Linked DNA regions of Arabidopsis thaliana. Each later gene encodes a partner of the first gene's protein in a complex. Each region holds a gene or a part of one and is shown in the gene's direction. Other genes may lie near its edges.

Region 1 (3,808 bases):
AGATAAATCTGTTCCGAAAACAAAAAAAATTAAGAGCCTTGAGCCAATAAAAACTAAGAAAATTGACTCAAAAACAAATAAAAAAAATGAAATTCCCGATTTCATATAAGAGCTCCATTGTAGAATTCGGGCCTAATGATTAATCAAGAAGCGATGGGAACGACGGAACCCATGAATATAGAGGATTCTATTGAAAAATAAATCTTAGTAATTCATTGGACAGGATGGCGGAATAAACCAGATTATTATCTATTCTTATTTTTATTCAGAGATCTCCTGGGATAAACAACAAACTTAATATAGATATTGAAAGAGTAAATATTCGCCGGCGAATACTTTTTTTTTAATAAAAGTAATAAAAAACAAAAATTAAAAAGATAAAAGAAAATAAGGATTTGTTAGAATATTCTAACAAAAACGACATTCGAGATGATGATATTACGTTACGTTATTTTTAAATAAATAGAATTAATCTTGGATTCCATTTCGAAAAAGACATACACAAATTTAGAAGAGATCAGATGAAATTGAATATCATGATTAATAGAATTAATCATTAACTATATCTTAATACAAGCTTTTTTAGTCCTTTTATTCGCGAGGAGCTGGATGAGAAGAAACTCTCACGTTCAGTTCTGTAGTAGAGATGGAATTTCTAATTTAGAACCATCAACTATAACCCAAAAAGAACCAGATTTCGTAAACAACATCGAGGAAGACTAAAAGGAATATCTTCTCGTGGGAATCGTATTTGTTTTGGCAGATATGCTCTTCAAACACTTGAACCCGCTTGGATCACATCTAGACAAATAGAAGCAGGGCGACGCGCAATGACACGAAATGTACGACGTGGTGGAAAAATTTGGGTACGTATATTTCCAGACAAACCAGTTACAGTAAGACCTGCGGAAACGCGTATGGGTTCTGGGAAAGGATCCCCTGAGTATTGGGTAGCTGTGGTTAAACCAGGTAAAATCCTTTATGAAATGGGTGGTGTACCCGAAAATATAGCAAGAAAAGCTATTTCAATAGCGGCATCAAAAATGCCTATAAAAACCCAATTCATTATTTCTGAATAGGAATATATAATGAAAAAACTAAATAACATTTAAGGGTAAAAAGATTATAAGTTTTCTTTTTTTGACAAACAATATTTTTTTACTTCGTCCTTTGCATTAAAAGAAGAGATACAAAAAAAATGATATGATTCAACCACAAACCTATTTGAATGTAGCAGACAACAGCGGGGCTAGAGAATTGATGTGTATTCGAATAATAGGAGCTAGTAATCGCCGATATGCTCATATTGGTGACGTTATTGTTGCTGTAATCAAAGAAGCAATACCAAATACTCCTCTAGAAAGATCAGAAGTGATTAGAGCTGTAATTGTACGTACTTGTAAAGAACTCAAACGTAACAATGGGACGATAATACGATATGATGACAATGCCGCAGTTGTCATTGATCAAGAAGGAAATCCAAAAGGAACTCGAGTTTTTGGGGCGATCCCACGGGAATTGAGACAATTAAACTTTACTAAAATAGTTTCATTAGCTCCTGAGGTATTATAAGATCTAAATATCGATAGCGATAGTTAGTATCGGATTAAAAAAACAGGTATTGAAATAAAATTAATTAATAGATTCTGTATCACGCATATACCCTTAATAATAAAATATTAAGAATTTAATTCATATATTAATATATAATTCGTCTATATCTATATATAAATAAAAGAAAAAGAACATGTTGATTATATCAAAATTATAGAACAATAAGGAATTTTAACTTATCATGGGGAAAGACACCATTGCTGATATAATAACCTCTATACGAAATGCTGACATGAATAGAAAAGGAACGGTTCGGATAGGATCGACTAACATCACGGAAAGTATTGTTAAAATCCTTTTACGAGAGGGTTTTATCGAAAACGTAAGGAAACATCGCGAAAACAACCAATATTTTTTGATTTTAACCCTAAGACATAGACGAAATAAGAAAGAATCCTACAAAACGATTTTAAATTTAAAGAGAATAAGTCGACCGGGTCTACGAATCTATTCTAACTCTCAACGAATTCCACGAATTTTAGGCGGAATAGGAATTGTAATCCTTTCGACTTCTCAAGGTATAATGACAGACCGAGAAGCTCGACTAAAAAGAATCGGCGGAGAAATTTTGTGTTATATATGGTAATCCTTCTAATATAAAAATTAGATATCTGTAACTTACAATTTGTGAAAAAAGGGGGTTGTGTAATACCACCCCTGTTCAAAAAAGTTTCGGATGTTTTACTTCGAATGAAATTAAAGAAAAAATGAATTAATAAAAGTTTTCTTTCTTAATCACTTCCGAACGGCATGGTTCGATTTTGTTTAGATACTAAAGATTTTTTTTCGTTCATGCTTCTGAAAGGATTCGACATATTTTTGTATAGGTATACCTATAGGATAAAAAGGTAAAATTTTGAGTAAGTTCTTAAGTATAAGTTAATAAGGGGACAGCCATTTTCTAGACTCCATAATAAGTATTCAAATGAGTAAGTGTTTTTTCAATTTCAACCATTCCTTTCACGAAGATACAATTCAAGATTCAAAAATATCAAGAAACCTTTTTTTCGTCCACCAATAAATATATTCACAGAATTAAGGAATAACAACTATGAAAATAAGGGCTTCCGTTCGTAAAATTTGTGAAAAGTGTCGACTAATCCGCAGGAGGGGACGAATTATAGTAATTTGTTCCAACCCGAGGCATAAACAAAGACAAGGATAATCTTACTAAAGGAACTAAAGTAAAAGAAAAGGCACTTCCAAAGAGTTGGAAAAAAGGGTCTATTTTGACCTGAAATGGATATATCCATATATTTCTTGTGAAATGAAAAAAAATGGCAAAACCTATATTAAGAATTGGTTCGCGTAAAAATACACGTAGTGGTTCACGTAAAAATGTACGTAGAATACCAAAGGGAGTTATTCATGTTCAAGCAAGTTTCAACAATACCATTGTAACCGTTACAGATGTACGGGGTCGGGTGATTTCTTGGTCCTCCGCAGGTACTTGTGGATTCCGGGGTACAAGAAGAGGAACACCCTTTGCTGCCCAAACCGCAGCAGGAAATGCTATTCGAGCAGTAGTGGATCAAGGTATGCAACGAGCTGAAGTAAGGATAAAAGGCCCTGGACTCGGAAGAGATGCGGCATTACGAGCTATTCGTAGAAGCGGTATACTTTTAAGTTTCGTACGAGATGTAACCCCTATGCCACATAATGGTTGTAGACCCCCTAAAAAAAGACGTGTATAGAACTAAAAAAAGGCTAAAAGGGTTTCAAGAGAAATAAACGATTCAACGATCTGATCAAATAAAATTACTATGGTTCGAGAGAAAGTCAAAGTATCTACTCGGACACTACAGTGGAAGTGTGTTGAATCAAAAAGAGACAGTAAGCGTCTTTATTATGGACGCTTTATTCTGTCTCCACTTATGAAAGGCCAAGCCGACACAATAGGCATTGCGATGCGAAGAGCTTTACTTGGCGAAATAGAAGGAACATGTATTACACGTGCAAAATCTGAGAACATACCACATGACTATTCTAACATAGCAGGTATTCAAGAATCAGTACATGAAATTTTAATGAATTTGAACGAGATTGTATTAAGAAGTAATCTATATGGAACGCGCAACGCGCTTATTTGTGTCCAAGGTCCTGGATATATAACTGCTCGAGACATTATTTTACCGCCCGCTGTGGAAATCATTGATAATACACAGCATATAGCTACCTTAACAGAACCAATAGA
Region 2 (8,477 bases), on another chromosome or scaffold:
CTGGGACGCTTGGTTCAGCTGCGCATCTAACCAAGTAAACCAATAAAACCATAAACTAAAGATTCAAAATTTCGGATTTCTCATAGTGAAGAAAGATCTGATTTGTAGTAATTATCGTTGGTTTCAGGTGGCTCAAGTGTTATTGACATTACCGTACTCGTTTAGTCAACTAGGAATGTTATCAGGAATAGTACTTCAGATCTTCTATGGTTTACTAGGAAGCTGGACTGCTTATCTCATCTCTGTTCTCTACGTCGAATACAGAGCTCGTAAAGAAAAAGAAGGCAAAAGCTTCAAAAACCACGTCATTCAGGTCCCCTCTTTAAACCCTCTCTCTCTAATCAGAATCACTAAATCATAATTATCTTTCACTAATCTAACACTTTTAAAAATCTCAACAGTGGTTTGAAGTACTTGATGGATTACTTGGTTCATACTGGAAAGCACTAGGACTCGCATTTAATTGCACTTTCCTCTTGTTTGGATCTGTTATCCAACTCATTGCTTGTGCCAGGTCTGTTATCTTTTAATCATTCTCTTTATCTTTTTAATCACTCTTTAATGATTAAGAATGGAGGATAATTGAAATATGATTGGTGTTTACTTGCAGTAACATTTATTACATAAACGATCATCTGGACAAGAGAACATGGACTTACATATTTGGCGCGTGTTGTGCAACCACTGTCTTTATACCGTCGTTTCACAATTACCGAATTTGGTCATTCCTTGGCCTTGGAATGACCACTTACACCGCTTGGTACTTAGCCATTGCCTCCATCATCCACGGCCAGGTAATGTTTTAATATATTTCACCAAAAATATATTTCATCACATTATAAAGATCACTACACTGTCGTTTTCATATTTATATGCTTTGCATTGAGGTGACAGTATATGCCTTAATTAAAAAGAAGAATAAAAAAAATTCGTATTTTCTCTTTAAGATCAGGGATTATTCTTTGCATCTTAACCCAAATTTGTATTAAAAAGTGTATGTATAATATAACTTAGACAAAATTAGCTGTTTAATATTCTCCTAATCAAATTTTTTTTTTGTTGTTTATTTTAGGCGGAAGGTGTGAAACATTCAGGTCCAACAAAGCTAGTGCTTTATTTTACGGGAGCCACAAATATTTTGTACACCTTTGGAGGTCACGCGGTTACTGTGTAAGTTACTCTTCTTTTGATTTCTTAATGATTATTAATTTTGTATCTAATAAAAGATCAATAAATTTTGTCAGACATAGTTGAATTACTATTTAAGTTAAAGCTAAATGGCAGAAAAAGTATATGGTAAATTAAAATGGTGCCATATTATTAAATTATGGGTGCTGCTGTATCGTTTCTTCGCCGCTTCTATTGCAGCTTTTGCCGGCAAATAAGGTGTAACTATTATTACAGTCATCATGATTGTCATTATTATTTTTAGCAATCCTTAAAATAGTAGTACTAATAAAATAAGCTCTTTTTAAATATAAAATAGAATAACCATTATTATTCCTATCCCTATAAAGAATAACAAACACTATTGCTACCAAAGCACTACTACTACTAGTAGGAATAGTACGCTTTTGCGAAATGTCAAATACACCCTTTTTATGCGTCAATGATTGTTGTGAATCCAATCTTTTACATAGTTAAAGTTTTGGATGAAATTATGAATATTAACAGTAATTTCTAATTTGCAGTGAGATTATGCATGCTATGTGGAAACCACAGAAGTTTAAGTACATTTACTTGATGGCGACGTTATACGTGTTCACGCTAACGATTCCGTCAGCTGCCGCCGTTTACTGGGCTTTCGGAGACGCACTTCTCGACCACTCCAACGCTTTCTCTCTTATGCCCAAGAACGCGTGGCGTGACGCCGCTGTTATCCTCATGCTCATTCATCAGGTATACACATACAACATTTTTGTTCTTTCTTTTTTAAGTAAATTTTGATCATGAGAGATTAATGCAACGTGTTCTTGTTCGTGCAGTTTATAACGTTCGGGTTCGCTTGTACACCTTTGTACTTTGTGTGGGAGAAAGTGATTGGGATGCATGACACAAAGAGCATTTGCTTAAGGGCTTTGGCTAGATTGCCTGTGGTCATACCTATTTGGTTCTTAGCTATTATCTTCCCCTTTTTCGGTCCAATCAATTCCGCTGTCGGTGCTCTTCTTGTTAGCTTCACCGTCTATATCATCCCATCTCTCGCTCACATGCTCACTTACCGATCTGCCTCCGCTCGTCAGGTATAACATCTTTACTAGCTCACTCTCTTTTAGCGTTTCAAAACTCGAACTTAACCTAAAATACATTGAGTTACCAATAATTTTTTAGAAATGAAATGAAGAGTCGGTGGAGGAATATTATAGTTGGGGGGTAGGGTTGTGAAATTGGAGGGCAAAAACGTCTTTTGTGGAAGATAGATGGGGTTCAGTGTTCCGTATCTTACGGAAGATAGGATCATCACCCACATTCCTTACTGGCGTCCCCTCCAAATAATATATTATTGAGTTGGTTTCAGCCATTTCTTTATTTGGTTACATTTAGAAGAAAAAATACAATATCCGGTTAGGTTAGTATTAGTAATTGACCATGACTTCTTTTTCTTTCTCTCTTTCAAAACAGTGTATATTAAATTTACGTAAGATAAAAGTAGAGGAAAATAGGGGAGAGGAATAGGTAAGAGTCATAATCAGAAATGAAAAGGAGCTGTACAATAGGGACTCTATGCCTAACATTAATCTAAAGTGAGAGTCTGAGTATGACAAATCACAATCATATCTCTCTCTCTCTCTCTCTATCTCATGGGTCAACAAAGCTTTGGATTTTGTCCATTACTATACGACCAAAACTCTAAAACACTTACACACTCTCTATTTCTTTAATGGTTCTCTGATTATTTTTGTGTTTTGGATCTTTCTTGTAGAATGCGGCGGAGAAGCCACCGTTCTTTATGCCGAGCTGGACGGCGATGTACGTGTTGAATGCTTTCGTGGTGGTTTGGGTTCTTATAGTCGGATTTGGGTTCGGTGGATGGGCTAGTGTAACCAACTTTGTTCGTCAAGTCGACACTTTTGGTCTCTTTGCCAAGTGTTACCAATGTAAACCAGCTGCAGCCGCCGCACATGCCCCGGTCTCCGCTTTACACCACCGTCTTTGAGAGATCGAGTCAGGGTTCTTCTAATGCGTTTGTGGAGGGTTCTTAAAATTATTTGTTCTTCTTTTGTGTTTTGTGTTCGTATACGTGAAGGGAGTAAAAGTCACGAAAATAGTGTACTTTTTACACACCCCTTTAAATGCGTGCTAAGCTCTTAATTATTTTTTTCTCTTTTGGGGTTTTGTATTTTTGTTTTCACTCCTTAGTTTTTTTTTTAAAATTGAATAGTCGATAATATGTAGTGTGTGATTTCTTAATTTGGTATTGTTAAAACAATAGGCTAAGAAAATGTATCGTCTTCTCTCCTTTTACTTGTCTTTAGTAACAAAAAACAATTCTTATCTTATACATTTATCCTAATTAGACTTATATAAACTATTTTACCATGAACAATATCTTCCGATACTAGATAATTCTTTAGGATCCTATTAGATCTTTTAATTATACAGTTTTGATCATAGCACAGCGACAATACTACTAAGTTTACATTAAAATTTTGAAATAACACTTTAATTTATTTGGAAAATTTGATTTAACGGCAGGGTGTGTTTAAAAATTAAATAGGGGAACATGGACAAGTTGGACCGACGGAGCCGGTCATATATCCTATGGGCCACATGGGTGTGGGGAGAGGACGCACGTGGATACTTCGTCCGAGTCACGTGCCATTATTTACTTGACACTCTTCATCTTCTCTCTGATCAAAAGAATGGATCAGAGGACCGTTCCTGTCCCTCATATTAAATATGGCATGTGTTCGTTCCATTCGTACTCAATCGTTTACCCCTTATCATATGCTCTGCTTTCACATGTACTTTGCCCCCAAAGATTATAACTATATATGTAAAATTATTAACTAATATTCTCGTTTGAATCCAGAGTCCGATTCTTGTACTTTCCATCTGACTTTTTTTTTGTTGGGGGTCAAAATAAAAAAGAACTTTGCAAAAATGTTTCTTCTAATAGCATAAAATCGTTAAAGAGAAAAGAAGAAGTGAATGTGAGTCATATTATGCGATATGGAGTAGGACCCTTGGTAACGTTTGGTTAGTGACCCTTGGTAACGAGTGGGTTCAAATTGTCAATAAACTATTATGTGGCGAGTGGTGAATCGTCTTTAATTTGTTCTGATTTAGGCCATGTGAGTTTTGCAACTACATTTGAGGCTTTTCTTCTTCTTTATATTAGACTTTTTTTTTTTTGTAAAGTGGACTATCTGGATACAAAAAAAATCTCGGCTAACATGGATAAATCTAAGATGGTTGTGTTTGTGAAAAGAAAATTGTTTTATAGTAAAATACGGTATGCAATAAAAGTATTTCATAAAATATCTCATACCAATTATTCAAGCATGTCTTTTCATAACATTTGACTGGCATCTTTCTCTCCTTTGGCCTTAAATCAATTTTTTGTCATCTTGGATTTCTTTTGAGGTATATAGAGCTGTTTGAAAATTTTGATGGCTGAAAATCACTTCACATCTCGATTTCTATATCATCCACTTAACTCGAAGTCAGGAGTAGCCTGAGACGATTAGGTTAAGTTAAGTGGTTATATGAATTTGTAACAACATTTAGATCTTTGTTTCCAATCATCAACCAAGTTTGAGAGACCTTAAAAACGTATATACGCACACCACAAAGTGATATGAATATGCTAAATTGTTTCTGTAGACACACAAGACCGTTGAAACGTCCAGATTAATCGCTTACTCCAGTCGAGAATACTTCATAAACATGGGACTAGAATTGTACCAACACATAATATTTCTTCATACGAAAGAGAACATAGTCTTAGCATGTTCAGGATTTAGAATACATTGAAGAAACACACATCTTCGTTCATGGCCTTAAGGTACACGAGGCCTAGGAAAGGTCTCATACTCTTGTTGGGTTTGAACTTGAGAAGGTATTTGAGGTACACGAGGCTTAGGGAACAAGAGCTTCAGGCGAAAAGCATCCATCCCATTCAAGTAATAGTGGTATAGCCGTTTGGCTCTTATAAACCCGAGTCGCCCATATAGTGCTAATGCTCCTTTGTTACTCACTTCTGCCTCCAGAGTTACCTTCAGCCATACATCTTTACATTAATTAGATTGCATAACCAGACAACCATACTCTCATGTTGTAATCAGGCTTGATTATGAGGAACTTGAAGAGCAAATGCCAATCACGAGGTTCTTTTTCCAATCTATTTACTACTGAGATTACAGTTAAGAGATCACACATACAACAGAAAATGATTCGTCGAATACGCAATTAGTAAGTGGGAGACAGGGATTTCTTATTTTATATTACTATCAGTTACATTCCAATGCGTGTGACTATAAAGAGTCATGGACTACATACAAGACTTATACAACATATGTATACTAAGTGAGAGACTGGGATTTTGATTTCCACTACAAAATTAGTAACTAAACGAATATCGAAAAGTTCCAACTCTTAGGAGTATGATTAACTACTTTTATACGTGGAACTAAACTTACACACACAGTTAGCTAAACAATCAAAAGCAATAGGTATACTTGCAATGATTAAAGGCAGCTACATCACCTCAGCTATGAAATTCTATTCTAGTAGATAAAAAGGAGGCACTATTTCAGGACATGTAATGGACTTATAACCTTCCGGAAAAGGTGGTTCATAAGGTCTTATCTACATTTATACTACCAGGAAAGGATATCACTCTAGTGCTACCAAATATCTAAGTTCTCCAAAGTGGGAATAAAGAGAGAAGTGAGAATGCAAGAACAGCATACCTCTTCACAGCCTGATTCCATCATCGCTTTTATCGCTCTTGTGACAAGCTCTGAGGCTGTAAAAAAACAATGACAAGTCAGCACACAAAATTATCGAACCTTAAGAGAGGCATGTATTTGCAGTAGATCAAACACTACTCCCACAGTCAAAATCTGATTCTGTAAGAAGTTAGGAAGCACTAGCTCAAGTATTACCTATGCCTCGGCCACGATATGGTTTAATCACAACCAACATAGCGATGTACCCTCTGAAAGTCTGTCGATGATCCCCCATCTTACAGACTATGGTTCCTACGCATTTACCTTTGTGAAAGGCCTATTAAAAGAAACAAAACAAATGCTACTCATAAATCCATCAAAACATAAGTATCATGAGGGTAAAGCAACGATAATCGAAAGCTGAGTGTCAAAATACCAGGAAGCATAGCTGCGGCCAGAGGTAGACGAAGTACCGGTAAGTAAAGATGGAGTAAGGTTCACTAAGTTCTTGGTCAACAAGAGACATAATCAATGGCAGATGATGCTCACCAGCATAACTCGTGTACTCAATCTCACCCTCATCGAATTCTTCTTTATCTTCCATCTCTTTCTCCATTGCAAGAAGTGATCAAGATCCCGAATTGTATACTTACAAAGAGAAATATGAACTTCTGATCAGTTGTTTATACATTGATGATCTTGTTCCTATAGGAAGTGATGAAACACATAATGCAAAGTTAGAGAATATAAATCATTTTCTGTGAATCGAAGTTGAGTGATTGTTTCAGAATTGAAAGTTCAATGTTTTCATAACAAACTCAGATTGCTCAAAGCCTCAAATAAACAGCTGAAGCAGAATCTATAACACTCTACTAAAGCAAACGACTTTGGCTAAAGCGAGCTATAGAAGATTTGAGAGTTCAGAAAAAAGAGAGCTTACCGATGTTATGTGACAATAGGATTAGTAAAGAATCCTGTGAAGCATAAGAATGAAAAAAACACACACAGATTTTAAATACCAAGTAATGAGAGATTTAGAAAGAGATGTGATTATAAAAATTGAAACTTTTTAGAAACCCAAGATCAATGAGATGATAAGAATACTTACCAAAAGTTTGAGCTTTGTGAAATTCGAAGATCAAAAGTTACGATCTGGGTGATATCTGAAGAAAAAAGCTCCGAAGAGAAGACGAAGAAGAACAAGAACAAGAACAAGAACAAGAACAAGGTCGATTACACACGTGACAAGCATGTGTAGGGTTTAGATATATTTGGGCTTTAAAATAAGCCCAATTGAAATTAAAGCCCAAATATGAAAAGATAATTAAAAGCCTATCCTAAAATCGTTTTTCTACTCTCACTGCCTTATCTTCTTCTGGATCTTCTTCTTCGAACAAATTCGAAAACAGCACACGGCGATGGCGTCGCTTATACTCGGAGCTCCTCCGCGAGTCACCGTCGCATTACCTTCCTCACGGTTATCATCTTCTCACTCTGAAACTGCCGGTGTCTCTCTCTCTTGCTTCACTCATCAATTCTCTCTCTCCACTTCCTCATCCAGCTCAATTCCACTCGGTAATCTCCCTCTCTTATCTAACTCTCTCTTAATTCGTCAATGGCGTAACTTTTCCGGTGTTCGCAGTGTACTGTGGCAGAGGTGACCGGAAAACAGCTAAAGGAAAGCGTTTCAATCACTCTTTTGGGAATGTAAGTAATCAAATTTCTCTTTCCGATTTCGTAATTTTACTTTGCAAATTCGCAATTTTGGTTTTGAATTTGGGGTTTATGTAAGCAGGCGAGGCCAAGAAACAAGAGCAAAGGAAGAGGACCGGAGAGAGTACCGGTTCCTCCAGCACCACCGAGGAAAGATAAGTTTGAGAACGACGAGAAGATCAAAATCGATATCGACGAGTCTCTCTTCTCTAATTAGAAATATGAGATTCTTCACTTGTTGTCTCTCACTGTAATTTTAATTTGTTTTTTGAAAAGCTTTGATGCTACGACTCTTTTGTTGTTAAAAACATCTCCAAAGTTCTCATCTTTTTATGAAAAGTTTGCTTCTTTATGAATCATTGAGTCTTTTACATTGAAAAAGTAAAGCAAACTAAGAACGAGAATCTATATACTTAGATAGATCAGATGGATGAATCATCTGTCTCTGTTTGGATCTTTAAATGTGAGAGTTTGTGATGTTTCCGCAGACTGTGCAGTGAGTGGAGACGAGAGTGTGCATTACACTTCCTTCTTCAATCTTAATCTTCCTTGTGACTTTGTTCCACAGATGTATCATGTAACTCCCTTTGTTCATGTCCTGTACTGTCTTCTCTACCCATTTTGCTTCTCTTGTGGTTGCAGGTTTCTTGAAAAGCTTTTGGATTTTGATCCAGTTTACTGGATAGAAAGCATCGGGAGAAAAGATTGTGAGATTGTTGTATCCAGGTTTGTTTCCTAATCTCTTGATAACTCTAGAGACTAGGTAAGGGCTGTTGTATCCCCATTTGTTTCCGTCGAAAGTTGTGGCATACTCTTGCAAGAATTCTCGCATTAGCGGATGGTAGATGTCAAAGACCATCACTGCGTTGT
Region 3 (8,211 bases), on another chromosome or scaffold:
GGCTCCTGCTCAAACACATCAAGGGCAGCCCCACCTAGGCGGCCTTCTGTTAGAGCTTTAATAAGCTCTTGCTCATCAACATGTGGTCCACGGCCAATGTTTATGAGGACGCCCTTAGCTCCTAATGCATCCATGACCTGCCGGTCCACAATGTGTCTGGTCTGCTCGGTCAACGGGCATGCGACGACGAGGATGTCTGAGTTTTGAGCAAGGTCAACCACCGTCGGATAATACTTGTAGGCGACATCAGGCTTAATGGTTCTTGAGTAGTAATTGATTGGGCAGCTAAAGGCTTCAGCCCTCTTTGCGATGGCAGTCCCAATTCTACCTAGACCAATGATCCCCACGGATTTTCCACTAAACTGAGTCAACCAAAAGAAAGAAAGAATGTGACGCTAAAGCAGAGATAGAAGACCAAAGATAAGATAGGGCAGAGAGCTCTTTTCCAATCAATCAATAGTGGGTAAGAAGTAGAAACCTTGGTAGTGAGTTGGAATTCACCTTGCTTCCATTTTCCGCTCCTTACATAGCGATCGCACTCACACAGCCGTCGAAGGAGAGCCAGGATAAGCCCGATGGCGAGATCTGCGACGTCTTCGGTGAGAACGTCGGGGGTGTTGGTGACGCGGATCCCTTTTTCTTTGCATTTCCCCAAATCGATCTTGTCGAGCCCGACGCTGAAGCTGGATACAATCTCAAGGTTGGGCAGATCGCTGATGAGCTGAGCATCGGCGCCGGCAGAAGCATTCCCAACGACGGCGCGGATGGAGTTCCGATGAGTTTCTAGGAGGACGGATTTCTCCGGAGAAGTCCAGAAGCGAAGAAGGTTGAAGCGCTTCTCAAGCTCGTTCTCGAGGTAGGAGGACATGGGGCACATCATAAGGACTCCGATTGATTCCATATCTCCTTTTCTCTGTTTTTTTTTTTTATTTTTCTTCTGCAAATGATTGAGTCAGTGAGAGGTCTGTGTATAATTTATCGGAGGTTGACGATAAAGATGGGCCTATTTTTGGGCCCATAATTGATATTATCCGCTTTTTATGGGCCACTAAATGACCCTTTTCAAGTTTTCCTCTTGGTTCCGAAATCATGACTTATGTTTAAAGACAACATTGCACGTTTGATGATATTCATGCAAATTGTTGTAGGATTCATGAACATGATACAAACACAAGAAGACATACACTGTATGTGTATGGAAACGTAGCAGATTCCCCGTTGACATTGCATGTTTAGGGAATCCAGTGACAAGGGTGTAATCACATTTTAGTATGTTACTATATGATAACATTTTATAATTTAAACGGCTCTCTATCTCTAATTATCAATGTTCAAAATCCTAAATAATGATTAGTTAAAATTAAGAGGTGTGGTCTGAAACATGCGCCCCACGTCCCATCTTCCAAAAAAAGGAAGCAAAAGAAGAAAGCTCCACAATTTTCTCAAAGCCAAAATCACTGTAACAATTACCCTTTATTGTTTTGCGGCTCGATTAGCTTCTCCTTCCCTTTTGATTCTCCCCATCTCAAGAGAGGCCCATTTGATCCTCTCTCTTTCTCTCTCTCTCCTCTCTAATTCTCTATTGCCATCAAGAGACCAGGAATGGTTCGTGCTTCGGAACAAGAACAGGAAACCTATAGGAGCAGGCTCTTCAATTTCAAATGGAGGAACAACGACAACAATAGTGCTACGAGACACAACAAGAGTCTCAGCGTCGAGACCGGTTTAGATGAGGCTGCCACCGGATCCCATGACGCTGAACCATTGACCATTATTCATCCTAGTCAGGGTCCACCACTTTCAAGATCGGCTGCGGATGAAGCAGTCCTCGCCGCCCTCGCCGCCTCACAGGCTAGAGAAAGGCAGCTTTTGGCAGACATGGAGCAGATGAAAGAGCGCTTCTCCAAGCTGTTGCTGGGAGAGGACAATTCCGGTGGAGGCAAAGGAGTATCCTCTGCTCTCGCCCTTTCAAACGCAATCACAAACCTTGCAGGTTGCTTTAGGACCCTCTTTTGTTATTACACTTAGTTTATATTAACCAGCAACCAATATCTCATGTTTATCTTGTTGGTATAGCTTCCGTGTTCGGAGAGCAACGGCGCTTGGAGCCAATGCCTGCAGAAAGAAGAGCAAGATGGAGAAAAGAGATTGATTGGCTTCTCTCCGTGACCGATTACGTGGTTGAGTTTGCTCCATCTCAGCAGAAAAATAAAGATGGGACCAATATGGAGGTTGTCTATCTGCTGCTGCTGCTGCATTATATTTCATTTGGTAACATACAATGATTCCCTTATTCTGTTGGTATTGATTTAACAGATAATGACCACACGCCAACGTACTGACCTCCACATGAATATCCCCGCATTGAAGAAACTGGACGCCATGCTCATCGTAAGACCTCTCTCTCTCTCTCTCTCGTTGACCAAATATCAACCCTACTTTAATAATTTCATTTAGGATATTCAAAAGCATCCTCTTATCCCCCTTTTCTACCTAGGATTGTCTAGAAAATTTCAAGGACCAAAGCGAGTTCAGCTATATCTCAAAAGACTCCCCTGACTTAGACGGTAAGAGAAACGACGAAAAATGGTGGATTCCGACCGTCAAAGTTCCACCAGATGGTCTATCAGAAGCTTCAAGAAGGTTTTTGCAGTACCAGAAAGATTGTGTAAACCAGGTTCTAAAGGCAGCCATGGCCATAAACGCACAGGTTTTGTTCGAGATGGAGATACCTGAGAGCTACATCGACTCTCTCCCAAAGGTAAAAAAAAAAAAAGACACCAACAATTGATGTTATTGATTAGAAGAGTTGATGAAGAATAATACTCACTTGTTTAGTTTGTAATAAATAAATAAACAGAACGGGAGGGCGAGTCTCGGGGATCAGATGTACAAGAATATAACGGTGGACTTCTTTGACCCGGACCAGTTCCTGAGCAGCATGGACATGTCGTCGGAGCACAAGATCGTGGACCTCAAAAACAGAATCGAGGCATCAATCATTATATGGAAACGCAAAATGGTTTATAAAGACAACAAATCATCGGCACCCTGGGCCTCCGGAGTAAGTCTGGAGAAGCGAGAGGTCTTCGAAGAGCGAGCTGAGACCATTTTGCTCATTCTCAAGCAAAGATACCCCGGGATTTCTCAATCTTCACTCGACATCAGCAAAATCCAGTTCAACGAGGACGTGGGCCAGGCGGTGCTGGAGAGCTACTCGAGAATACTGGAAAGCTTGGCCTACACGGTACTTTCCAGAATCGATGACGTTTTAGAGGCAGATCGAGCGGGGAACAAGAGGAACACGCCATTGGAAGCAGAGGAAGAGACGCTGGTTGGGAGCATGACGCTGTCGGATTTCATGGGATGGGACTTCGATCAGGCCGCGAACGCCGAATTGGAGTCGAAGAAGGATCTACCGGATGATCCGTTGATAAAGGAGAAGCTAAGCGTCGTCACGACCAAGAAGACCTCATACCTCGAAACCCTAGGCGGTGTCAAGAGTCCAACGGCACGGCATTGATATTTGTGTGGAAAATTAGGCGCAAAAAAGAGCGAAGACAGATTTATTGATTATTTAATTATTTTTAGGATTCAAAAACTTTACAAAAGGGCTTTTGTAAATTCCTTTTTATGAAAAGGTGGGCTTTTAAGATTAGGCCCAGTTTATTGTAAAACCCATTTACCATCTGTATACTGTATACATCCCTTCTAAATAGTAGTAGTACTCACCTTATCTTCATTTTCATCGATTCGATTCCAAATCGGAAGGATGATAACGTCGTCCCTAACCTCATCTCTGCAAGCTCTCAAGCTTTCGTCTCCGTTCGCCCATGGCTCCACTCCTCTCTCATCTCTCTCTAAGCCCAATTCCTTCCCGAACCACAGAATGCCCGCTTTAGTTCCGGTCATCAGAGCCATGAAAACGATGCAGGGGCGCGTGGTGTGCGCAACCAGTGACAAGACTGTGGCGGTGGAGGTGGTGAGGCTGGCTCCCCACCCCAAGTACAAGAGGCGCGTGAGGATGAAGAAGAAGTACCAAGCTCACGACCCCGATAATCAGTTCAAGGTTGGCGACGTGGTCAGACTGGAAAAGAGCAGACCCATCAGTAAGACTAAATCATTTGTGGCGCTTCCTGTCATCGCAAGGGCCGCCAGGAAAGCCGAAGCCGGAGGAGATGAACTCCTTGGCCTTCCCTTGGAGTCTCAGCAGCCGGCGTAGAGAATGATTGCTCTTTGTTTCTTTTGGTAAAGCCGTCTTTTTTTTGCTCTGCTTCTGTTTGTTTGTTGTGTATCCCGGAACCAGTGTAATTTATGGAATGCTTTTGTGATTTCATTGCTTATGCCATGAGTGTGTTTTCAATCTGATTGTTTCCGACTACCAATTGTTTGCTCTTACTTCATCTTCACCTCCAGTTACATTTAGAATGTGAATTAATATGTTTCTGTTGCTACTGTGTGCTTGTGGTCTCAGTGATCCGACTTTTGTTTCTGCTAATTCTACGGTTCTTGCTCCTCTTGTTATGGTTCATTTGCCAATGGAATGGACCAAAAAGGTGTTGGATAATAATAGGATTGGAGAAGAGAGAGCTGGTCGTTTTTGTACAAAACTTTAATGCACTGCTGCTATACATTATCATATAATTATATATAGGTAAATAATATCTGCTGTGACTTGTCATCAGCAATCTTCGATTTGTAGACTTCTCTTAATGTTGTGTAGTGTGACTGAGACGAGGTTTGTCACGGATTCCACAGACTCCATATTCAGCTTTGCTGCAGGAGAAGGGTTGATGAGGGTTTGGAGGGCGAGTGTCAGGAGCGACCCTCCTTGGCTGTTTCTGTCGTCTTGTGTAGACGTTATTACCAGTGGCCGTGACTCTACTCCATCAGGTATGATTGAGAATCCAGAGGGGAGGATTTGGATGTTGCTTGGATCATGTCCCGCGAGCACCAGCTGTGTCGTGTTTATATCTACGGGAGCGTATACCACCACCGACTCATACGAGTTAGTGCTGCTGTCTTGCAGCACCCATATGCTCTTTTCTCTCGATTTCACTGTCTGGAAATGTATAGAAATTCAGATTATCAAGGCCTAGACAGATTTAGAGGAGGAGAAGACAAAATAAACGCACCTGGATTGCCACTGAGTTGCCTCTGTCTTGTCCCTTGGATAAGTTTGCAATAGACTGAACATGAGCTCCGTTTGACAAAGCATCCCACTGATGATATGTATCGTTAGATAAATATATGAGTGGAAACCGCTTTTCTTGTTTGCTTAAATGTGTGTGAATTTGACAAGGTACCTCATGCCGACGAGCTTCATCTCTAAAGAAATCGAAGAGAAGAGCTGGAGAAACAGGTAACCACAGCGAAGAAGAAGCGCAGACAATGACTCCCGTGGGCTCGCCAGGATCATGAAGGTTCTTCCTGGAAGAAACCCGCATGTCTTGTCCAGTTTTGGTGGTGATTTTGGTCCATTGATGGTAGCTTGATGCAGCAATGGCGCGGTAGAAGCTTTGTGTCATTCTCTGAGCCATCTTCAGCACACTCTTTCTCCCGGCAAGAGTTGTAACTCCTGATTATCAACAGAGGAGTGAAAAGGTTATATATAAAGAAAGATAGAGAGTGTAAATGGAGGATCCGGATATATAGACGGACCGAGAGAGTCTTTGGTGGGGACGTTGGTAGCCATGAAGAAGACAAGGCGTTCGCAATGGAGCTGAAGGGTGGCGACCCAGTGTCGAGCCCCAAAGGCCAAACCGGTGTTGACTAAGGAGCGGAAGAGAGGCTGAACTGTGGATGCAGACACGTCGAGGTGCTCCACCCAGGTGACCTTGGAGTGACCGTTGGAGGTGTCCTCGATGATGCAACCGGAGGGGAGTTTTCGACATTTCAGAAGAGAAGCCTCCTTCTCCGTGTTGCTGTCCTCCACGGAGACCGAGACGTCCACTATTGCCCATTTCTCAGGGCTCAGCTGCCGGCAGCTTCTCACGAAGTACACTTCTCTTGTGGGGACGACCGGAGTGAGCAGCTGCATCTCTCCGAACATCTGCCACAATAGTTATAAACCATATCCATCCCATGTATCAGCTGAGTCGTCATTCATCAATTATCACTATATGTATATATTGATGAGTACTCACCAGCTGAATAGCCCCGTCGATCCGTGAAGGCCCTTCGCCTTGCCGGATAACATCGACCGTTGCAGCCTTTGAGATCAAGCATGCAAATGTCTCTTTCCATTGTCCCTGCGCGTTACACGTACACATCAATTCCTTTTTATACACATAGAATAAGTTATAGTAGCTGGTAACAGTAATAAATAATGGAAAAGTACCACGTCCATGAAACTCTGGGCAAGTTTATGTGCGTCCATAAACACAATCCCCGCATCTCTAGATGCTTCGATGGTTTTCCTTCCAGGAAACGAAGAGGCTTGCGCTTGGGGAAACTCCTTGAGGTACTCATCGTAGTTGAGAATCTCACGGCCAGTCTCAACGCTGCGGAGCCACATAGGTTCGCCTGAGGTGGCCATCTTCTGGAGTTCAAGGGTGGCTCGGTTAGAAATCTCGGCAATACGGGACTTCTCGAGGGCAAAGACGCCCGTGTAGAAATCGAGAGAGCCGAGACGGTGTTCTTGATCGTCGGAGCATGAAGCCTGCAGGGGATAGGGAGTGCGTCCAAGAGCTGCACGAAGCTTATCGAGCTCGGCTTTCAGTTTGGAGTTTTCGAGGTGGAGATCATCGGGGCCTCCTCCGCAGTTGGGGCAGGAGGAATTAGCCTTGGAAAAAGACTCCCTCATGGCTTTGTTTTCCTCTCGCAGCTTCTCTAGTTCCGCCTTGAGCAGGGAGTTCTCGTGCCGTTCTTGAATAGCCTGTCCATGCATGATTGATTCATAAACTATATATATACTACTATAGTCAGACAAAAATCCATATCACGTAAGATATACATTACCTTGATCTGTGTGCGGCGGTTTTGGAACCAGAACTTGACCTGGCGAGGGGCCAGCCCTAGTTGCTTGCTCAGCTGCTGTCTTTGCTTCTCGTCCGGATGTGGTGTCTCTTTGAATAGCCTGCAACGTCCTCAAATTCAGACATTTCTAAAAGATGAAAATCTTTACATGCAACTGAACCCTAACTAGGCATATGTATACTATTACTGATCAGCTTTAATTGTGATGAAACAAATTAACACTTTATTGTTTAAGCCTTTATATACGTTATAACGCGCATGTACCTACAGTCATGTCAGGAGAAGACGGGGAATAATAACGAGTAAGCGTCCGAAACCATATAAGCGCATTGAAACTAATGCTGGATCATATATCATCGATCGGCAATATATTTGTATGAATACATCATCTAAGTATATATATGTATGTGAAATTAATGGAGAATTGAAGGTGCGTAATTGAGAATTGCTCTTCAACGCAAGACACCTTCTCCTTCTTCCACTAATTAAGTACTACAGTATATACCGAAGAAAGGGATTAAAATCATAATTACTTATAAAACATCAAGAAATATGAGCACCGGAAAAAACAACTAATGAATGTTTCTTGATAGAAGCTAGCCCTAATGAATCGGAATCCCCTAATTAAGTGTTTTAATTTGTGAAGCATAATTATTAAGTTTATACTTATTAAAAAGTGGGGTGGGGGGTTTAATTAGTTAGCTAGGTAAGGATGGAATAATTATATCGAACGTACGCTTCCATGTGTCTGATCTGATCGGTGGTGTGACGATGATACTTCTTCCTCTTTCTCTTATTAGTGCCCTTGTTTCCAGCTGCGCCGTCCTCCTCTTCCTCCTCCTCATCGTCGTGATCCTCACCCTCCAAATCCTCCTCTGATCTGGATCTCGTGGGTCCTGAGTTCTCGCTGCTCATCTCCACAGTGCGATCCTCATCGTCAACTACTCTTCTGCCCAGGAAATCCTCCTCAGGGTTGGTGCTGCCGGAGGATGCATTCCGGAATATCCCAGCCTGTATATATTCCTATCTCCATTAAAATCAAGACATATATATAATATATGTTTATGTGAGAGCTAGCAAGTACATGTATGTAGAAAAGAGAGAGTAGTATACGAGAGATAGAGAGAGGGCTGGAGAGGAGAAAAAGTCTTTGGTGGGTTGTTTGGAAGACATGTCGACGGCCATTGACATACAAATCCTGTCCCTAGCTAGCTTCTTTGCTTAATTATGATC
Region 4 (9,130 bases), on another chromosome or scaffold:
CCCATGTCTGGGCTAAAGGCAGTTTGTAGGTCTCGCACACCACTGTCAGTATCTCCAAAATCTCAGCTAACGCATTTTGGCGACCCTCGTTGCAGATCTGGTATAGGAGAAGTCAAAAAGAAATGGAGTCAAAACGAGAAGGAACAGCACTAAATGAACTCAAGACAGTTCTTGAAAGTTTCTGAAAGAATACTCGAGATTTTTGACATTGGACTCGCAGATAACCTGAGTAGTCTCGTGGTTCAATATTTCCGAAGTTTTCAGATTCACGGCCTGCAACACAAGAGAAAACAACAATGTCACGGGAAGATCAAAGGAAACTGATAAAGAACCCTAAAAAAAGAAGGAGAAAACAAGGGCAAACCTCAAGCGCTTTACAAACTTTTTCAACCTCAGGAGCATAGTTAATCTTCGGAGAAGTCATAATAAGCTCGACAACTCCTACACAGAGTTGCCTGGATGGTTCAAAAACAGGCAAAGCCAAAGTTCCCTGAACATTATAGTGCAAGGCGTGACCAAGCCTTGAAAACTCTTTGCTGGAGTAATACTGCACATTAGGAGTCCACTCAGGTAACTTTTTCCTGAAAACGCGACCAGGAAGCCCGAGCTCTCCGTCCCGTTCACCATCAAGGGAAAACATATACGTCAATGAAACCATCCTGTATTGATTAAGGCCATTACTATTGGGACCAAGAACAAATGGCTGTCCTGAAGTTGTAAGAACATATCGACCACGGTTTTTGACAGGCGCCCAAACCTGAGCAAGAACATGTTGTTGTCCAGTAGATTCCTTGAAGTATCTAAGCGCTTGAGTCATCTTGGCTTTGATGGCACAGTAACTATCTGGATTCTCCAAAGGCATTATACCCCATGACGGAGAAGGAACCTGATTATTCTCCTTGGTCGTGGTTTCAGATTCAGAACCTGCATTTCATTTGATTCTATAAATTCCAGATCTAAATTCTACTAATCCGTGAAGTTCCAATAAGATTCCAATGAAGGAGAATATTACTATCCAGAGATTGAAGCATATTCACTACATTATCTGAATTGGATTCTAGAATCTAAACTTTGCATGAAGACTTACTAGCGAGTAAGACGGAATAATCGGTGAAGCGAGTGGGAGCTACTGCGGCGGAGTAAAGCTCGCCGCCGACATCTCCAGAAGTTTCGGAGAAGGACCAGAGAGGAGAGAAAGGTTGTTCGGAGGAAGAGAAAATGACAGGAGACTTGAAATTTGAAGCAAAAGTGATCTGATCTAACGGCCAAGAACCGCTGAGATCCAAGTCGTCAAGTTCCATCAACAGCAGCAGCAAAGACGTAAGACGAGACAAAAACTCGTCAGAGTAAGTGTTAATATCTCCGGAAGTTTCGCCGGAGCTCCTTTTGAAGCAAAAAAAAACTCTTCTGATTCAGCTTCTTCAACAGAAAGAGAGAGAGAAGAAATAAGAGGAGAAGACAAGTTGTAATATTATTTAAATTGGGATTTAAATCTTTTTGAGATAAAATAATTTGATTTTGTTGAAGACATTTGATTCCACGCTGTACCATTTTACCCCAACCACTAGAATATCTCCCATTTCATGCAAATTCTTTATTCTTTGTATTATTTTCTTTAATATTTTTATGAGACAAAAGGCATCGAAATTTTGTTTTTCTATTAATACTAACAAACTTGAATATTAGAACATTGGCCAAAAAAAAAAACTGTATTGATATTGATTGACCATCTCTAGAATATTGGCTTTGACAAAATTCGATATACATAAAACATAAAGGTGTGAATAAATACTATTAGACTATTTGAATAATCGTTTTTAAATGCTGTGATACGATTCTATTTTATTCCAAATGCATTGTTTCTGCCAGAGGCGAATATATGGTAAAGGTTTGTTTTTATCACATTTCAAAAAACGAATTGATTATGTTATATAGAGTAGATCTTTAGACGTTTCTTACACGTCCACCACCATGAACAAAGTTGTCATAGCATATTTTATGCGCCTAAAAGCTTTAAAAAATATTAAATTAAGACGTAATTAGGCACTAAGTGCGTGTTGTGGGTGAGTAGAATAACAACGACTACTATAATTTATTCAATAATAATGATGTTCTTAGCAAATAATTATGATAAACAATGCAATAATTGACGACAATGAAAAAAACGAATCTCGCTTTGGGAGATGAATAAAAAAGCGAGGACATCTAATCGTGATTATTCTTACTCAGCCATTTTCAACTACTTACCCAAAGTGGATCCTTACTTAAGCCCTTTTGCAATACATAAAATTTTTATTAACAGTAACTTGTTTTCCTAGTGGGGACATCTAATCGTGATTATTCTTTCTTTTAATGTTATAATAACTTCCCTAATTTGTTATTTAGCTGTTAATCAATATTTTAACCCCAAGGAGAAGAAATGCTTGCAACGTAAATCCCCACTTGTTTCAAGTTGATGAGTGTTTGGCAATTGACAATTGTGTGTCCCTTGTTCTGTAATGACAATCCTTCCTTCCTTCTTCCATATTTGGACTAGGTTGTTCATCAAAGGAAGGAAGGCCCCGGCTACACTACGTTAGAGGCTCTCCAAATCTGTCCTTTTCATCCACAACTAAACCAAACCCAAATTCAAATAACCAAACTGAACTAAAACATTCCACCGCAAACCAAACCGAAATTGAGTATCCCGGACCACGGTAACTCTGAATTCCAAACTATACCTAGTTTTGAACACCCCTAGAATTATGGACATCATGTTCAAGCAAAGCATCAAAGTGAGGAGGACAGAGTCTCCAATTGAAAACGAGTGAACACTAAACAATAGAATATAACGTAAAAGGATATGGAAAAACAGATTGATATCACAACAAAGTCTCATTGACCCGGAGAAAATACTGAGTCGCTCAATATCGGTCATTACATGATAACAAAGTTTTCTGACCCAGAGATTTCCAGGAACATAACAGAAGAGAAGAGACAAGCAGTGAGAAAAGTCGAATCTTACACGATACGCTCCAGCTCTCTGGCGTAGCTTAGAGTCTGGTTGATGAGTTGCAGAGACGGAATCTCTTTGCACGGTGCAGTTTCTTTGGCTTTCTGGAAGACAACAAACCCTTCCTTCACTTCCCACTCAGGATGCTCCTATAAGATTTGATAAAACCTAAATCGCGTCAATGGTTCATGAAACTAAAAAAGATTCTAAACTTTGCACAAAATGTTTTTTCTCTTACATCTGTGACATAGGTTAAGAGTTCTTGATCAGAAGAGAACAACAACATCTGCCGGGCATCGCTGATAGAGACATAATCATAAGCTTTCTCGCTGCATCCAGCTATTTCATCTCTGTGAATTCAGTCATAACAATAAAAAGGTGAGATAACACGCGAGAAGACATAAGACTGAACTAATTCAGAGAAGGACAGACTCATTGATGCTACCTTATGGTCTTTGCCAAGAGATCCATGAAATAGACGTAAGTTGCATCAGGCGCGGTCTGTCTAGCACTCAACACACGGTTATAGGCACCCTCCATGAAGGATTGCTCAAGCTCTACTGCATGCTTGATGCAAGGATCCTCTAGTGTAGCTGATGAAAGTAATTCAAGCTCGGTGTGGAATTCAGCAATTCTATTTTGTACCAGCAGCCTCAGAAGGTTAAGACCCAGGATAAGATTCTCCTGTGGAGACTGAGGAATACGGTTCCTGGTGCAGAGGAAAAGAAGATATGTTAGACCAAAAGAAAATGAAAAAGATAATGTTCAGACAGTTGGTTCTTTCTTTACCTGGCATCCACATAGTAAGGTTTCAGCTGGAAGAAATCTCTCTCAAAAGCATCTTGATCCTCGGTTTTGACGCTTAGAACAACAGCATGCTCATAAATGTCCCCTAGAATACACCAATTGTCAAAGTTTTAGAAACGGATAATCAATAAGAACAAAAATTACCAATAACTCAATCCAAACCAATGCAGCATTCAACGATTAATGTATACATATAGGGATAGACAGACAAACTAAAGCAGTACAATCCCTCAGACACTCTTCAGTGGTATTTAAGTATAGTTAACAAATAACTCATGAGAATAGACAAATCCAAAACACTCCATGCAATTGAAAGCAAAACTCTAAACTTACTAGCAAATAGCTCATGTAAAACCAATAATGAAAAAGAGAAACTTACTTGCAATAGTCAATTCCTTGGCTGCATTAGGTGAATTCTCGAACAATGGAGGAAGACTTGTGAATTTGGTAAGAAGAACCTGAAGAACACAACAAAACCCCAGCGACATCAGAGACTCGCACCAGTAAATTGTAAATCTAAACCAATCCCAACAATCCCTTAAAGTAGAAAGTTAAAAATTTCATAGCACTTAGCTCTTCTAAAAGATCCTTAACACACTTATATGCTAAAAATTCTCACTTCAATAAATCAAAGCTCTCATAGATTTAAACTCTCGCGACATAACCCATCAATTTTCCCAAAGTTGGTTCAATAAGCAGATATGCAAAGAAGTGAATTGAAACAAATTAGGGTTCAAAGAAGAGAGAGAGATGTAGACCTTAAGCTGAGACAACAGATCGCTACAGGTATTGTAATCCTTCCTCGCAAACGCCGCCTTGAATCTCTCGAACTGCTGTGAAACTTCAGTTAGCTGCGGATCCATCGCTTCTATGGTTTTTTCTCTTCACCGGCGACGATTCTTTTCTTATAGATTTGATTGCTCCGAGAACTGGCTTGATCGCGAAGACAAATAATACAGATAGAAATAATTGTCTTTACAAAACGGGCCTTTAACAGGCCCAATAACCTAAAAAGGCCCATGGTGTACAATAGAATTCTGACTAATGTGTACCATCATCATCTCTTATCCAAATTTTACTCTCTCATCTCCTCTTTGCTTTCACAATCTCACAACAATGGCGTCTTCGCTGTGTGTATCAAATTCCACAATTTGCCCTCTGCCTAATGTATCTTCGCAGCCGCTGCTATCATTCTCCCACTCTCTCAGGCCATTCATTTCCAAGTCGAAACCTATGTGTGCCTCGATACAGAAGAGAGATGGCTCTCAATTTGTGGTGAAATCTCAGGCTCTTGACTTCTCTGGAACTTTCTTTGAAGGTGGATTCGGGTCGGATGATGACCCGACTTCTCCTTCCGGGTCGGGAGTCTCAACTGCCCTTGAAGACAAACCGGAACCTCAGTGCCCACCTGGGCTCAGGCAGTACGAAACAATGGCGGTTTTGAGACCAGACATGTCTGAAGATGAACGGCTTGGTCTTACCCAGAAATACGAAGAGGTAAGTAAAAGTCTCCAACTTTACCTGTTTTCTGTTTCATGTCAGAGGGAAATTTGATTATTTGAGAGAGAAAGAGATTTTAGGATTCAATTAGAAGTTGAGTAAGAGATCACTAAAAGTTGTATCTTGTGTCTGTTCTTACACGTTAATGACAAAGCAAGAGAAAATGGTTTCAATGTAGAGTTGTGTAACTTGCAGCTATCAATTGAATGTTTGTGACGACTCCTTGTTAAAATTGAAGTAAAGAGTTTAACTTTCTAAGAGCAAATCTCATCCTTCTGTGGGCTGTGAATTCTTTAAGTCTCAACCATTTGAAACAAGATAGGAGCCCTTAGTGCACTTCTTAGTTTTTTAGTCATGTTTTACCATAACATTTTAACTCAATTCTTGAAATGTCCTTTGATGCTCGAAACGAGCTAATACACAGTTATCATTTGTGGTTTACGCGTGGGTTCTTTTACGCTATATCACATGTTTAATCTAATGAGGAATTCTGAAATTTATGTTCGGAGTAGTGGAAGTTTTTAGTTGGTGCAGACTCTGAAAGATTCATTATGTTGCTGGGATTTCTTTTTGGTGTGTGTGGCAGTTGCTTGTGGCAGGAGGTGGAATGTATGTGGAAGTGTTTAACAGAGGAGTGATTCCGTTGGCTTACAGCATAAGAAAGAAGAACAAAGCTGGAGAAACCAACACTTACTTGGATGGAATCTACCTTCTCTTCACTTACTTCACCAAACCCGAATCAATAGTTCCACTCGAGACCGTTCTCACTGCCGACGATGACATTATCCGATCATCTTCCTTCAAGATAAAGAAGAGGAAGTACAACTGAAGACCATGAACATTGTGTATGTGAGAAAAATGTCAGATTCTTTTTTTGTTTCTTTGTAAGAACAAAAGTAAATCTATCTTTTTTGTATCTTTTTTTGTGCATTGCTCTGCTTTCTTATGTAACTGTGAGAAACTCTTAAAGCTAAGTTTGAGAAGCATACTTGTATGCATTTTCATTAAAAGATTTTAACTAACACTAACTTGCCATAGTTACTATAATGATGGAATTCATATTACTCTGTTTCATAGCACAAAATCCTCAACGGATGCATAACAATCAAACAAAATAGCAACAAAGAACAAATTTGTAAAGTATTCAGGCAGAAGTGACTTTGTTTGCCAGCTTTTACCTTCTGACGATCCAAACTTAAATTAGTGAGATTGTTGAACTCCTTTACGTAATTGATCAAAACCATCAACATATACGAGTGAGAGACCTTGCAAGCTTAGCATTATAATGGTTCACGTTCATGCTTTAACATTTTATGAAAATCCTAGCATAGTTTCAAATCATTTTCAATTCCACAAAATCAAACGTGTCACATACATATAACAAAACAAACGGGACAAAGTATATTTGACACACCTCTATTTGCTTGTGTAAACTAATAATGTTCTTAATTAACAAAACACACGGGACAACGAATCAATCCATTCTCATTACACTTGACACACCTCTCCCACCTTTCACCTTTGGCCGCCCCAACCGCCGCCACCTTACAGCTTCCGCCGCACTCGAAACAAGGCAACCACCTCGCTCCTCCGCACCCTTCACACGTGAGCCTCCCTTCCTCCCCTACTCTCTCCACACGTGCCCACCGCAACACCCTCCCTAACTTCCCGTTCTCATTCATCGCTGTCACTTCCGCTGCTCCTCCCAAGTACCTCCCTTTCACAAACACTCGCGGCGGCGCCACTGATGCTTCGTCTTGGAGAAGCTCCTTAAGCTCGCTCAAGACTCCGGCGTCTAAAGACACGTCCCTCTCGTCCACCACAACTCCTTGCTGCTCCATGATGGCCCTCACACGCATACAATCCTCGTACGTGCGACGCACTCCTTGCAACGACGTCGTGTAGACAATCAAACCTTCCCCTCCTCCCGGCGGACACTTCTCCGGGAACTCCCTAAGTGGGTCCCAGTTCATCACCGGCTTCTTGTTCCCTTCTTTCTCCCTCCGTTCTCTGTCTCTCTTGACGAATATGTTCTCCTTCACTGACCGAGGCCCCGAGTAGGACGACTGAGTGGACTCGGTTCGATCATCTGACTCGGGTCTTAGCTTGGACATCGACTCGGTTCTCTTAAGCTTAACCATTGTCGTCGGGATTTGCGCGGCGATGCTTCTTTTGGCCCTCACTTCAAGCTCGTCCAGTGTGTGGAACGATGCGCTCTTCCGCGGAAGCCGCCGTGGAGGAGTCGCCGGAGGTTTAACAGAGTCTACTTCCGGCGGTTTAACGGCGGCAGGTTTAAGTTTAGTTTCTAGAGATTTGCTGACTTCTTCCCATGTTTTAGGAGCGTCATCACCATCATCATCATCATCATCATCATCCTCGTCGAGACGGTCGAAGACGGTGGAGCGTGGCGGTTTCTCATCATCTTCATGTTCAAATTTTAGCCATGGCTCTTGGATGGCGTTGACATCAAACACCGCGAAACTAGACGGCGGTGGTTTGTAAACGTCGGCGACGACGTTAGCTTTTGCTTGCTTGGAAGATGTACACCCCATTTTAATAACTCTTCAAATTTTGTTCAGTTTTCTTTGTATATGTTTTTGTGTTTACTATATGAAGAAAACAAGAAAATGATGGGTAGCATTTTGTGTGGTCTAAGAGCATTCTCTTATCTAAATATTTTTTGCATCAATTTGTATCCTTCCTAGAATAATGCTTAGTATACAATTGTGGATTTATTCGAGTCCATGAATATTTGTGAAACGATCATAATAAGAATTAGAATGACGACCACCACAAAGTGTGCTTGTGGCTTCAGTGTAATCTACGTGGTGAGTCAATCATATTCTTGACAATTCAATCTTCTAATTGTCGTCTCTCCTAAATGCAAATATGTCAAACTCTACCGAAGAAAGATATGCAAATGTCATTATCATTTGAAGGGTCGATACAAAAATAATGCATTTCATAACACAAAGAGAATATATAGCATTGGAAAAAGAGGTTTCATTTTGATATACTTGAATCTTTTGAGTATCACAATTTCACCAAAACCAAGTTTTTCTTTGGCAAATTAAATGTCCTAATGAATTAGACAATCATCAATTTTTTAAGTAACAAAACATATAACTATTGATGGAGCATGTTACAGAGTCTGATACACTTTGACTTGAAGTGTAGTATCAATGGCTAAAACACTAATTTCAACTAAAGACATCATTCATCGTTGAAATTACACAAAAACCTGAGCAAAGATGAAATTTATCTGAGATGATAAAATTTACCTAAGCAGGTGATGACTCTTCTTCTTCCACCTTCTTCTTTGCCTTCTTCTTCTTTTTCTTCTTCGTAGTCGTCTTCGTGGCATTCTCGGTTACTTCTCCATCAACATCTTCTACAATCTGAGTATGAAGCTTTCCCATCTCAGTATCGATTGTCATAATCGCCTTCTCGATGAAACTATCGACGGCTTCTCTGACGATGATTTTGTACGGATCTCGCGAAAGATCGAGATTCAACTCAGATGAAGCTTCTTCTCGGGCCTTAATCTCTGTAATCTCAAGTAAACTCGACCGTTTCAGGATCTTCTTCACCGTTTCCTTGATCTTCTTCTTCAGATCATTGTCGATCACCACTTGTCTCGCTTCTTCTTCCTCCATTGATTTTGATGTTGAAGACGGCTAAAGATCGACCAAGCCTAAGAAAAACACACTTGAGGGTTTCAAAGAGAAAATTCAAAATCTCTGTTGTGAATGGGCCGACAAATGGGCCGACAGTTTGTCTTAATAGATATCATGTTTTAGTTCTCAGAAGAAATGATAGCTCTTATTTTGA

The links.
Region 2: rps11 (region 1) and PSRP4 share a complex: the UniProt entries of both Arabidopsis thaliana proteins name them as parts of the 30S ribosomal subunit.
Region 3: rps11 (region 1) and RPS17 share a complex: the UniProt entries of both Arabidopsis thaliana proteins name them as parts of the 30S ribosomal subunit.
Region 4: rps11 (region 1) and AT1G64510 share a complex: the UniProt entries of both Arabidopsis thaliana proteins name them as parts of the 30S ribosomal subunit.

What each region holds. Positions count from the first base shown.
Region 1 is NC_000932.1:78,460-82,267, reverse strand, and holds rps11 (ribosomal protein S11), read left to right. Parts: upstream 1-2,891; coding exon 2,892-3,308; downstream 3,309-3,808. Other genes in the region: rpl14 (ribosomal protein L14), read left to right, coding at 1,204-1,572; rps8 (ribosomal protein S8), read left to right, coding at 1,796-2,200; rpl36 (ribosomal protein L36), read left to right, coding at 2,666-2,779; rpoA (RNA polymerase alpha subunit), read left to right, coding at 3,378-3,808.
Region 2 is NC_003071.7:15,973,636-15,982,112, forward strand, and holds PSRP4 (plastid-specific ribosomal protein 4), read left to right. Parts: upstream 1-7,212; 5' UTR 7,213-7,312; coding exon 7,313-7,469; intron 7,470-7,536; coding exon 7,537-7,601; intron 7,602-7,689; coding exon 7,690-7,824; 3' UTR 7,825-7,977; downstream 7,978-8,477. Other genes in the region: AUX1 (Transmembrane amino acid transporter family protein), read left to right, coding at 1-34, 128-313, 402-514, 611-794, 1,073-1,170, 1,692-1,899, 1,986-2,243, 2,924-3,157; ATMAK3 (Acyl-CoA N-acyltransferases (NAT) superfamily protein), read right to left, coding at 5,004-5,219, 5,916-5,971, 6,111-6,231, 6,331-6,510; AT2G38150 (alpha 1,4-glycosyltransferase family protein), read right to left, coding at 8,065-8,477.
Region 3 is NC_003070.9:30,037,484-30,045,694, reverse strand, and holds RPS17 (ribosomal protein S17), read left to right. Parts: upstream 1-3,742; 5' UTR 3,743-3,772; coding exon 3,773-4,222; 3' UTR 4,223-4,452; downstream 4,453-8,211. Other genes in the region: AT1G79870 (D-isomer specific 2-hydroxyacid dehydrogenase family protein), read right to left, coding at 1-362, 479-901; ROPGEF12 (RHO guanyl-nucleotide exchange factor 12), read left to right, coding at 1,603-1,993, 2,077-2,231, 2,317-2,391, 2,498-2,761, 2,861-3,523; GL2 (HD-ZIP IV family of homeobox-leucine zipper protein with lipid-binding START domain-containing protein), read right to left, coding at 4,682-5,062, 5,136-5,222, 5,307-5,578, 5,662-6,052, 6,147-6,251, 6,341-6,877, 6,961-7,078, 7,715-7,989 and 1 more. UniProt on the Arabidopsis thaliana protein: One of the primary rRNA binding proteins, it binds specifically to the 5'-end of 16S ribosomal RNA. Required for optimal plastid performance in terms of photosynthesis and growth. Required for the translation of plastid mRNAs.
Region 4 is NC_003070.9:23,951,991-23,961,120, reverse strand, and holds AT1G64510 (Translation elongation factor EF1B/ribosomal protein S6 family protein), read left to right. Parts: upstream 1-4,816; 5' UTR 4,817-4,843; coding exon 4,844-5,296; intron 5,297-5,885; coding exon 5,886-6,128; 3' UTR 6,129-6,318; downstream 6,319-9,130. Other genes in the region: AT1G64530 (Plant regulator RWP-RK family protein), read right to left, coding at 1-97, 226-273, 365-924, 1,088-1,301; RPN12a (regulatory particle non-ATPase 12A), read right to left, coding at 3,001-3,141, 3,231-3,342, 3,438-3,701, 3,782-3,884, 4,179-4,257, 4,558-4,662; AT1G64500 (Glutaredoxin family protein), read right to left, coding at 6,745-7,851; AT1G64490 (DEK, chromatin associated protein), read right to left, coding at 8,581-8,955. UniProt on the Arabidopsis thaliana protein: Binds together with bS18 to 16S ribosomal RNA.